Oryctolagus cuniculus: one gene and its partner. The protein of the gene in region 1 interacts with the protein of each later gene in a pairwise test. Links are inferred from orthologs where the notes say so. Each region holds a gene or a part of one and is shown on either strand. Other genes may lie near its edges.

Region 1 (4,259 bases):
CAGAGTCACTGGATGGCAGCTAAAGGAAGATGGATCACTGAAGAATTTTCCTTCTTTCTTTGACAAGCAGAAGTGTCAGGGAAAATTTGAGAAACCTACCTTTCTTTATACATGAATGGAACACAGACAGAAAGTAGAACAAATGAAAACAAGGTCTCTTCCCCAGTGGAAAGAAGGGGCTATCAAAGAAGGATGTACTTTTCTCCGAAGGGAGAACTTCCACTTTGCATATGGCCCTGTCTAAATACCAACGGAGTTTGTGGACTCAAAAGGTTTCCACAGCCTTGGCAGCTCATGTCAAGAACCTCGGGTGGTCACTGACATCAAAAATAAGTCTTGAGGCCGGCACTGTGGCACAGAGGGTTAACGCCATGGTCTAAAGCACCAGCATCCCATATGGGCGCCGGTTCGAGACCCAGCTGCTCCACTTCCTGTCCAGCTCTCTGCTGTGGCCTGGGAAAGCAGTGGAAGATGCCCAAGTCCTTGGGCCCCTGCACCCGCGTGGGAAACCAGGAGGAAGCTCCTGACTCCTGGCTTTGGATCAGCGCAGCCAACTGGGGAGTGAACCAGCGGATGGAAGACCTCTCTCTCTCTCTGTCTCTGTGTAAGTCTGACTCTCAAGTAAAATAAATAAATCTTTTAAAAAAAATAAGTCTTAATTGTTAAATCAACAACAGGAGTCACTGTGCACTTACTCCCCATGTTGGACCTCTATCCTTAATGAGGTTGTACTATGAGAATTAACAGCAAAACCTGTCTTCAAACAGTACTTTATAGTTTGTGTCTCTGTGTGGGTGCAAACAGTGGAAATCTCTACTTAGTACAGAGTTGGTCTTCTGTATATAAAGTGAATTAAAAATGAATCTTAATGAAAAATGGAATAGGAGAGGGAGTAGGAGGTGGGATGGGAGGGCAGGAATGGGGGAAAGAAACACTATATTCCTAAAAGCTGTACATATAAAATCTGTATTCATTAAATAAAAACCTTTAAAAAAAGAAACAAAACAAGGTCTCCTATAAAAAGCATTAAAAAGGTTAGAAGATTAAAAATTTTGCCTTCATCAGAGAAACAACCCATCCTCTGAGACTACAGGAAAAGCAGATAGGTGTAACCTAAGTGATTTTCTAAGAAGGGAAAACATCTAAAACCCTTTCTCCATAAAAGAATTCATAACAACAGGGGCCAGTGCTGTGGTACATCCAGCTAAGCCAGCACCTGCAAGACCAGCTTCCCATATTAGCAACTGTTCAAGACCTGGCTGCTCCACTTCCAATCCAGCTCCCTGCTAATGCACCTGGGAAAGCAGCAGCAGATGGCCCAAGTAGGTGGGCACCTGCCACCCACATGGGAGACCCAGATGAAGCTCCGGGCTCCTAGCTTTGGCCTGGCACAGCCCGAGCCTTTGTAGCCATTTGGGAAGTGAATCAATGAATGGAAAATCTCCCTGTGAACCTAATTCTGCCTTTCAAGTAAGTAAATCTTTGAATCTTTAATGAACAACTAGAGAAAATCACTGAAGGGTAGTGACCCTCAAGGCCTCTTCTAGAAAAAAAAAAAAAAGATTTATTTATTTATTTGAAAGTCAGGGTTATAGAGAGCAGAGGCAGAGAGAGACAGAGAGGTCTTCCATCCACTGGTTCACTCCCCAAATGGCCACAATGGCCAGAGCTGCGCAGATCCGAAGCCAGGAGCCAGGAGCTTCTTCTGGGTCTCCCACACAGGTGCAGGGGCCCAAGAACTTGAACCACCTTCTACTGCTTTCCCAGGCCATAGCAGAGAGCTGGATCCGAAGTGGAGCAGCCAAGACTTGAACCAGCACTTGGGATGCCAGCACTGCAGGCAGTGGCTTTACCTACTACATCACAGCACCGGCCTCTCAAGGGCTCTTAAGTTGGACACCTTGAGTTCAAATCTGGGCTCCACCATCTACTCATTGCATGGCTTCAGTCAAGTTATTTAACCTCTGAAGCTTTAAACCCTTCTCAAATAAAATTCCTCTACGTTTGTCACAAGGGCTAAATGAGACAGGTGTAAAACTCAGCGTCTGGCAAAACTAAGCAGGCAACACCATCATCGTTCTTGTTGACAGTGAAGGTATGATGAACGCAGAAGCAGAGAACGGGTAAAGGCATCATCTAGGAGCGGCTGTGGCCTAGAGCGTAAAACCAGCACCTGCAGTGCCGGCATCTCATATGGACGCCAGTTTGAGTCCCAGCTGTTCCACTTCCAATCCAGCTCTCTGCTATGGCCTGGGGAAGCAGCAGAGGATGGCCCAAGTCCCTGGCCCCTGCACCCGCGTGGGAGACCCAGAAGAAGCTCCTGACTCTAGATGGGCTCAGCTCCGGCCACTGCGGCCATCTGGGGAGTGAACCAGTAGATGGAAAACCTCTGCCTGTCTCTGCCTCTCTCTCGCTGCCTCTGCGTCTCCGTAACTCTACCTTTTAAATAAATAAATAAAATAAGATGATCGGCCAGCAACGTGTAAGGTGCACGGGCACAAACCTATACCTGTGCTTCTCCCCACTTCCCAACATAAGCCACACTCCCAGAAGGCTCCAAACCTGGACCACATTCCTTCCAAATGCGAAAGATCTTTCTACTGTACTGAGCCGCTAGCCCCGGTCTCTAGGGGAAGAGGCTTGCTCGGTCTGGCTTTCCTAAGAGCCGCTGAGAAGTTTGTGAAGGACCCTCGAGCTCCTTCGAAAGCGCTTCTGGCGGAAACGCTGTCCCTGCCGACAAGCTGGGCCGCCTCCTTGGGTTGGACAGAGCCCGCTCTCTAATTAGTCCGTGTTCTGCTTGCGTTGGGTCCAAGCTCAATACAGAGGTCAGGGACACGCGAGAACTAACGCCAAGTGGGGCAGAGACCACCGCGAGCGCCTGCTGAAACGGCGCCCGGGAGCTGAAGGGAGAAAGAGGCAACGTCTTCAAAGACGCAACAGCCACGAGAGCGTCCGTGAGGACACGTCTCCCAAGCGTAGTGGCTGCACGGACCTAGCGCCCACATCCGCAGCTCTCAACCCAGCCAGGAGAGGCAGGCCTACCACTGCCTTACCGCTCGGCGACACAGAGCGACGCGCTCACGTTACTCCAGCCGTGCCTCACAGCTTCCGGCGCTGCCGGATCACGTCGCGAGACAGGCCACAGCGCGGCCGGTGATGTCACCACGGCCTCTCCGCGGATTGGCTAACAGGCTCTCCCAATGCCCGGATGTAAAAAGTGCCCACCCACAACTGGTCCCTCACTGGCCCAAGCGTGGGTCTTGGCAGTTAGCCCAGGCGAACGAGCTGTCTCGGCGTCTACCTAAGGGCCATTCGCTTGTCGCTGCCTCTCAGTCTGGACTGCACGAGACTTCAGGCAGCAAACCCTCCCGTGGCTTTTTCCAGGCGGCCATGCTGCCTCCTGACGCTCCCGTCGCTAAGCAGTAGCTCACTGCCTGTAAGGTCATCTCCCCTGCAGACGAGACCTGCTGAAGCATTGCCGTCCCCTTTCTAAACTACAATGCATCTTCTTCCCGTTCAGGAGACAAAGGGCTGCAGCGGGCAGAGGCCGAGGAAGCCTGCTAAGATTTTTTTTATTTTTTTTTTTTAATGCTGTCTTCACTAAAGGAACTCCTGGACAGTCAGGGAGAGAAGCAGGATGCAACAATCAATGATATGGGCACTGATTTTTAAAGCCATTCCAGGACGTTCCCTAACCCCTGTCATGTATTGCAATTATTCCAAGGTATTTTGGCAGAGGGAAGAATTTTTTTTTCATTTCTTTGAAAGGCAGAGACAGCGATCTTACGCCCACTGGTTTACTCCCCAAATGTCCAGAACAGCTGATCTTAGACCAGGAAAGAAACCCAGAACCATTAATTCAATCCAGGTCTCCCATGTGGGTGGCAAGGGTCCAATAACTTGAGCCATCACAGCTGCCTCCCAGGGTGGATATTAGCAGGAACGGGTGGCAGTATCAAACCCCATGGAACAGGGGTAAGAGGACATCTTAACTGCTGTGCCAAACACACACACCCCAGATGGAAGATCTTCTATCTCATGGGTGAAGACATAGTGCATATTTTTTAAAGACTTTTTTATTTATTTGAAAGACAGAGTTAGAGAGAGAGAGAGAGGTAGAGTCAGAGAAAAAGAGGTCTTCCATTCCGTTGGTTCACTCCCCAAATGATCGCAACGACCAGAGCTGAGCCGATCCGAAGCCAGGAGCCAGGAGCTTCTTCCAGGTCTCCCACGCGGATGCAGGGACCCAAGGACTCGGG
Region 2 (3,813 bases), on another chromosome or scaffold:
GCTGTCTCCCCTTCGGACTCACCTTTCCTGGGACTCTGGCTACAATCACATCCTTCTTCCCTACCCCCAGTCTGACATTCCTGTTACCTGTCCCTGCTATGCTATCATCTTTAGCGTGTTGCACAGACTGACACACTTTGCATCGAATTTCTTTATCATCTTAGCTGTTTCCTTTCCAAGAACTTAAACCACACAATGGCCCAGATTTTTGTGTTTTATTCTTTACTGCACACAAAAGTTCTTGGTATACAAAAGGTATTCAAAAATATTTTCTAAATAAGTGATTCAAACAGTTTCTTTTTATACTAATGGGTTTAGATCAGAACCATGTGACTATAAAATGAGTTCATGGGTCACAAACTCCAGCTTGCACTGCTGCTAAGAGATCTATAAAACTCTGGGAAAAAAACCCATCGGGTGAACACCTGCTGGGCACCTGGCCCAAGGGACTGTGTAAGGATCAGGGAACCTCAGCTGCCCGTTTTCCATTCTTCTCTACTTCACCGCAGCCCCTTTGCAGAAGAATGAGAGAAGACCTGCGGCTGAGTCAGCGACTGCATAGCTGAAGACCTCACTTCAGAGCTCCACCATGGGGTCTCGCTACACAAGATCTCAAATGGTAAAGACAAGCCAGCTTTCAGGTGGTGAGATTCGCACGGAGTCCTGTCTTCTTATGAGTTATGCATCCTTGTTTAACCAGAAATAGTATACCGTGCTGTATGTGTGTATACACATGTGCCTGAACTGCTACATCTCACAACAAAGCATTTGAGGTTTTAGAATAGAAATCCCCAACGTTCTCCATCACAACTTCTTATCACTAGAATACGAAGCCCAAGCGAGAGGCACTCAACGGTAGAAACGAGCGTCTATCACTCTTACCTGCAGCCGCCACAGAGGGCCCAGCCAGGTTCTCTCCTTCCTCATCAGTGCTCGCATCATAGACTGCATCTCGGTCAGCAGTCGGCTCAGAGCAGGCTGTGGTCTCCCTACGAAGGGCGAAATGGAGCACTGAAAATCACTGGGCTCACGCTGGCTGCGCAGCAAGTTCAGCATTAAGTAATTACAGAGATTACTCCGGGGCCAGCACTGCGGTGCAGCAGGCTATGCCGCTGCCCGTGAGGCAGGCAAACCACATGGGTGTCAGTTCCAGTTCCCGCTGCTCTACTTATGATCCAGCTCTGGGAAAGCAGCGGATGATGGCCCAAGTCCTTGGGCCCCTGCCACTCATGTGGGACACCCAGATGGACATTCAGGCTTCTGGCTTTGCCCTGGCCCAGCCACGGCCACTGAGCCATTTGGGGAGTGAACCAGCAGATGGAAGATCAATTTCTCTCTTTCCCTCTCTCTTGCTCTGTCTCTCCCGCTCTCTTTAACTCTGCCTTTCAAATAAATAAACAAATATTTAAAAAAAAACTCTAGGAAAAAGATCCTAATTATGAAAATATGTATTGGAATATATATGTTTTAGGTAAATTTACTTTGGAGACTGTATATTAACTCTCTTAAGATAAATGTCTCTGTTACCTAATAATCTGAATGGTATTCAGAGCTCAGTATCATTAACTTTACAATCAGGTTCTTCTTATACCAAAATACTTTTCTGCAAAATTTTCTCTGTGGATTGCAAAGCATTTAGCACTTTCCCATCTCAATGGAATTCTGTGTTTCATTTGGTCGCCCTAAAATCCTGAGAAGGCGCCTGTTACCTTTACCCTTATTGTGAGGAAGAAGTTGAAACGGCTTGCCCAAAGCCACAGACTAATAGGTATCAGTGCTACACCAACCAGCTAAACCAGCTGACATCAAATGTGCTGTTTTTTACAGTTTGTCATTAGCACATGTGTGCCTCCTCTCAGATTCAATGCAACAGACTCTAATCTGTACCTGGTAATGCCCATGAAACCTACGGTTGTCCAAAGTCATGCAAGCCATTTGTCACCTAGGTTTCCTTCTTGAGAATCAAGTACGCATCCACTCTCAGAGAGAAGTCCACAGAAGGAGAGAGATGACTAGATAAAACTGAGTACTCCTTGGTCGTTAACATCAGCAATGTGATTCTGCCCTTAGTTCCTGCTTGGATATCAGTAAGACAAACACGCAGTGACAATCTGGCAGTTTTATAGAAGATAAAAGCTTTCTTCAAAAAAATAAATTTGTTTCTTTCTCAGTGATGTCTCAGAACTAAACAAATACCATATAGATAAGCCTCTTGCTAATTATATCACTTAGATGTACTTAAAAGAGTAGGCAGACAGAGAGCTGCCATCCCTAATGGGTAGAGCATCCAACCTCAGAATACCCAGTGATCTCATAGCACTAAAAAGTTGGCACCTAAACTGCATTAAGCCTGGAAAGGAATTCTGCTTAAATTCATGTACTTGTCATCCAAAAATATAAGCACCAAGATACCTTACGTGTTCGGTGTTCTTTTCTAGTTCTTGAATTTCACTTAACAATTTATGCAAGCTTCTGATCTTTGCTTTCTTCTCATTCAACACCAGAATAAACCGTCTGTACAGATCAGCCTCCAAAGCTTCCTTGGCACTCACGCATTTTTCAAATCTAGAAGAGTAAATAAACAAATCACAGCGTTTTTCTTAGCTGCCTCATTATTCAATGTAATACTTAAATTTCAAGAAAACTTTTGAAGCGAATTACCATTAAAAATCATGTGTTCATATGCATTCATTACCTTAGAAGTTTCATAAAGGCAATTAAAGAAGTAACTAGAGGTCACTGGTTATTCAGGTCAGTAATTTAGGTATTGAGATATGGACCAAAATTGAAAATTGATACAAATAAAGCATGAAAGACAAATAAATGCCTACATGTAATCATTTTGGTTACATCTATGGCTTAGTTATAAAAGAATGCTTTTATGGGAGAAACTTCAAATGAATAATTGCCACTGGTTTCCTCAGTGTTGCTCAATATTCCCATGAAAACAACCATAAACTTGTTCTGTGATAAAGTCATGGACCTAATCTGCTTGATTGTCCTGTAGACTAAGAATGGCTTCAGAACAAGAACATGACTTACTTGTTACATCCTTATAACCTCGTAGCACTCATGCATACAAAAAACACATCAGTCACACACACACATGGAGATGTATAATAAGTAAAAGTATCCTATCTGATGTTTCTAAAGAGCGATTAATGAAATCAGAAATGTGAAACACTACATGTCCTCAATTTTAGATATATAAGGCAAAGTGTAAAATTCTCTCATGTATGACTCCTACAGTACTCAAATGAGCCATAGCTATCTCCCGATATATCTATACAGCAGAGAAAGCAAACTTATTTGTTTGCTGTTCCACATAGGTGTCCTAGTACTTTTTTTAAAGATTTATTTATTTATTTGAAAGGCAGCTACAGAGAGGCAGAGGCAGAAGCAGAGAGAGAGGTCTTCTATCCGCTGGGTCACTCCCTAAATGGCCACAATGGCTGGGGCTGGGCCAATCCTAAACCAGGAGCCTCTTCGGGTCTCCACATAGTTGCAGGGGCCCAAGGACTTGGGCCTTATCTTATACTGCTTTCTTAGGCCATAGCAGAGAGCTGGATTGGAAAGGGGCCTTCCAGGTCTTGAACCAGCGTCCATATGGGATGGCAGCACTGTAGGCGGCAGCTTTTACTGGTTATGCCACAGCGCCAGCCCAGCACCCTACTAATTTTATATCATATATATATAATACACACATATCAGTCATGATATATAAATGTATATCTATTTAATGGATAATTACAAAGAAAACGGTTAAAATGCTAACTCTTGTTTGTATGTCCATATATTTTCAACAACCCTCCT

What was found.
Region 2: the proteins of APTX (region 1) and XRCC4 interact in binary tests that used the Homo sapiens proteins (3 or more experiments, as listed by UniProt). The link is inferred for Oryctolagus cuniculus from reciprocal best matches to the Homo sapiens genes APTX and XRCC4.

The regions. Positions count from the first base shown.
Region 1 is NC_091432.1:196,420,588-196,424,846, forward strand, and holds the start of APTX (aprataxin), read right to left. Parts: upstream 3,107-4,259; 5' UTR 2,574-3,106; coding exon 2,563-2,573; intron 1-2,562. UniProt on the Homo sapiens protein: DNA-binding protein involved in single-strand DNA break repair, double-strand DNA break repair and base excision repair.
Region 2 is NC_091445.1:6,370,860-6,374,672, reverse strand, and holds part of XRCC4 (DNA repair protein XRCC4), read right to left. Parts: intron 2,566-3,813; coding exon 2,413-2,565; intron 990-2,412; coding exon 883-989; intron 1-882.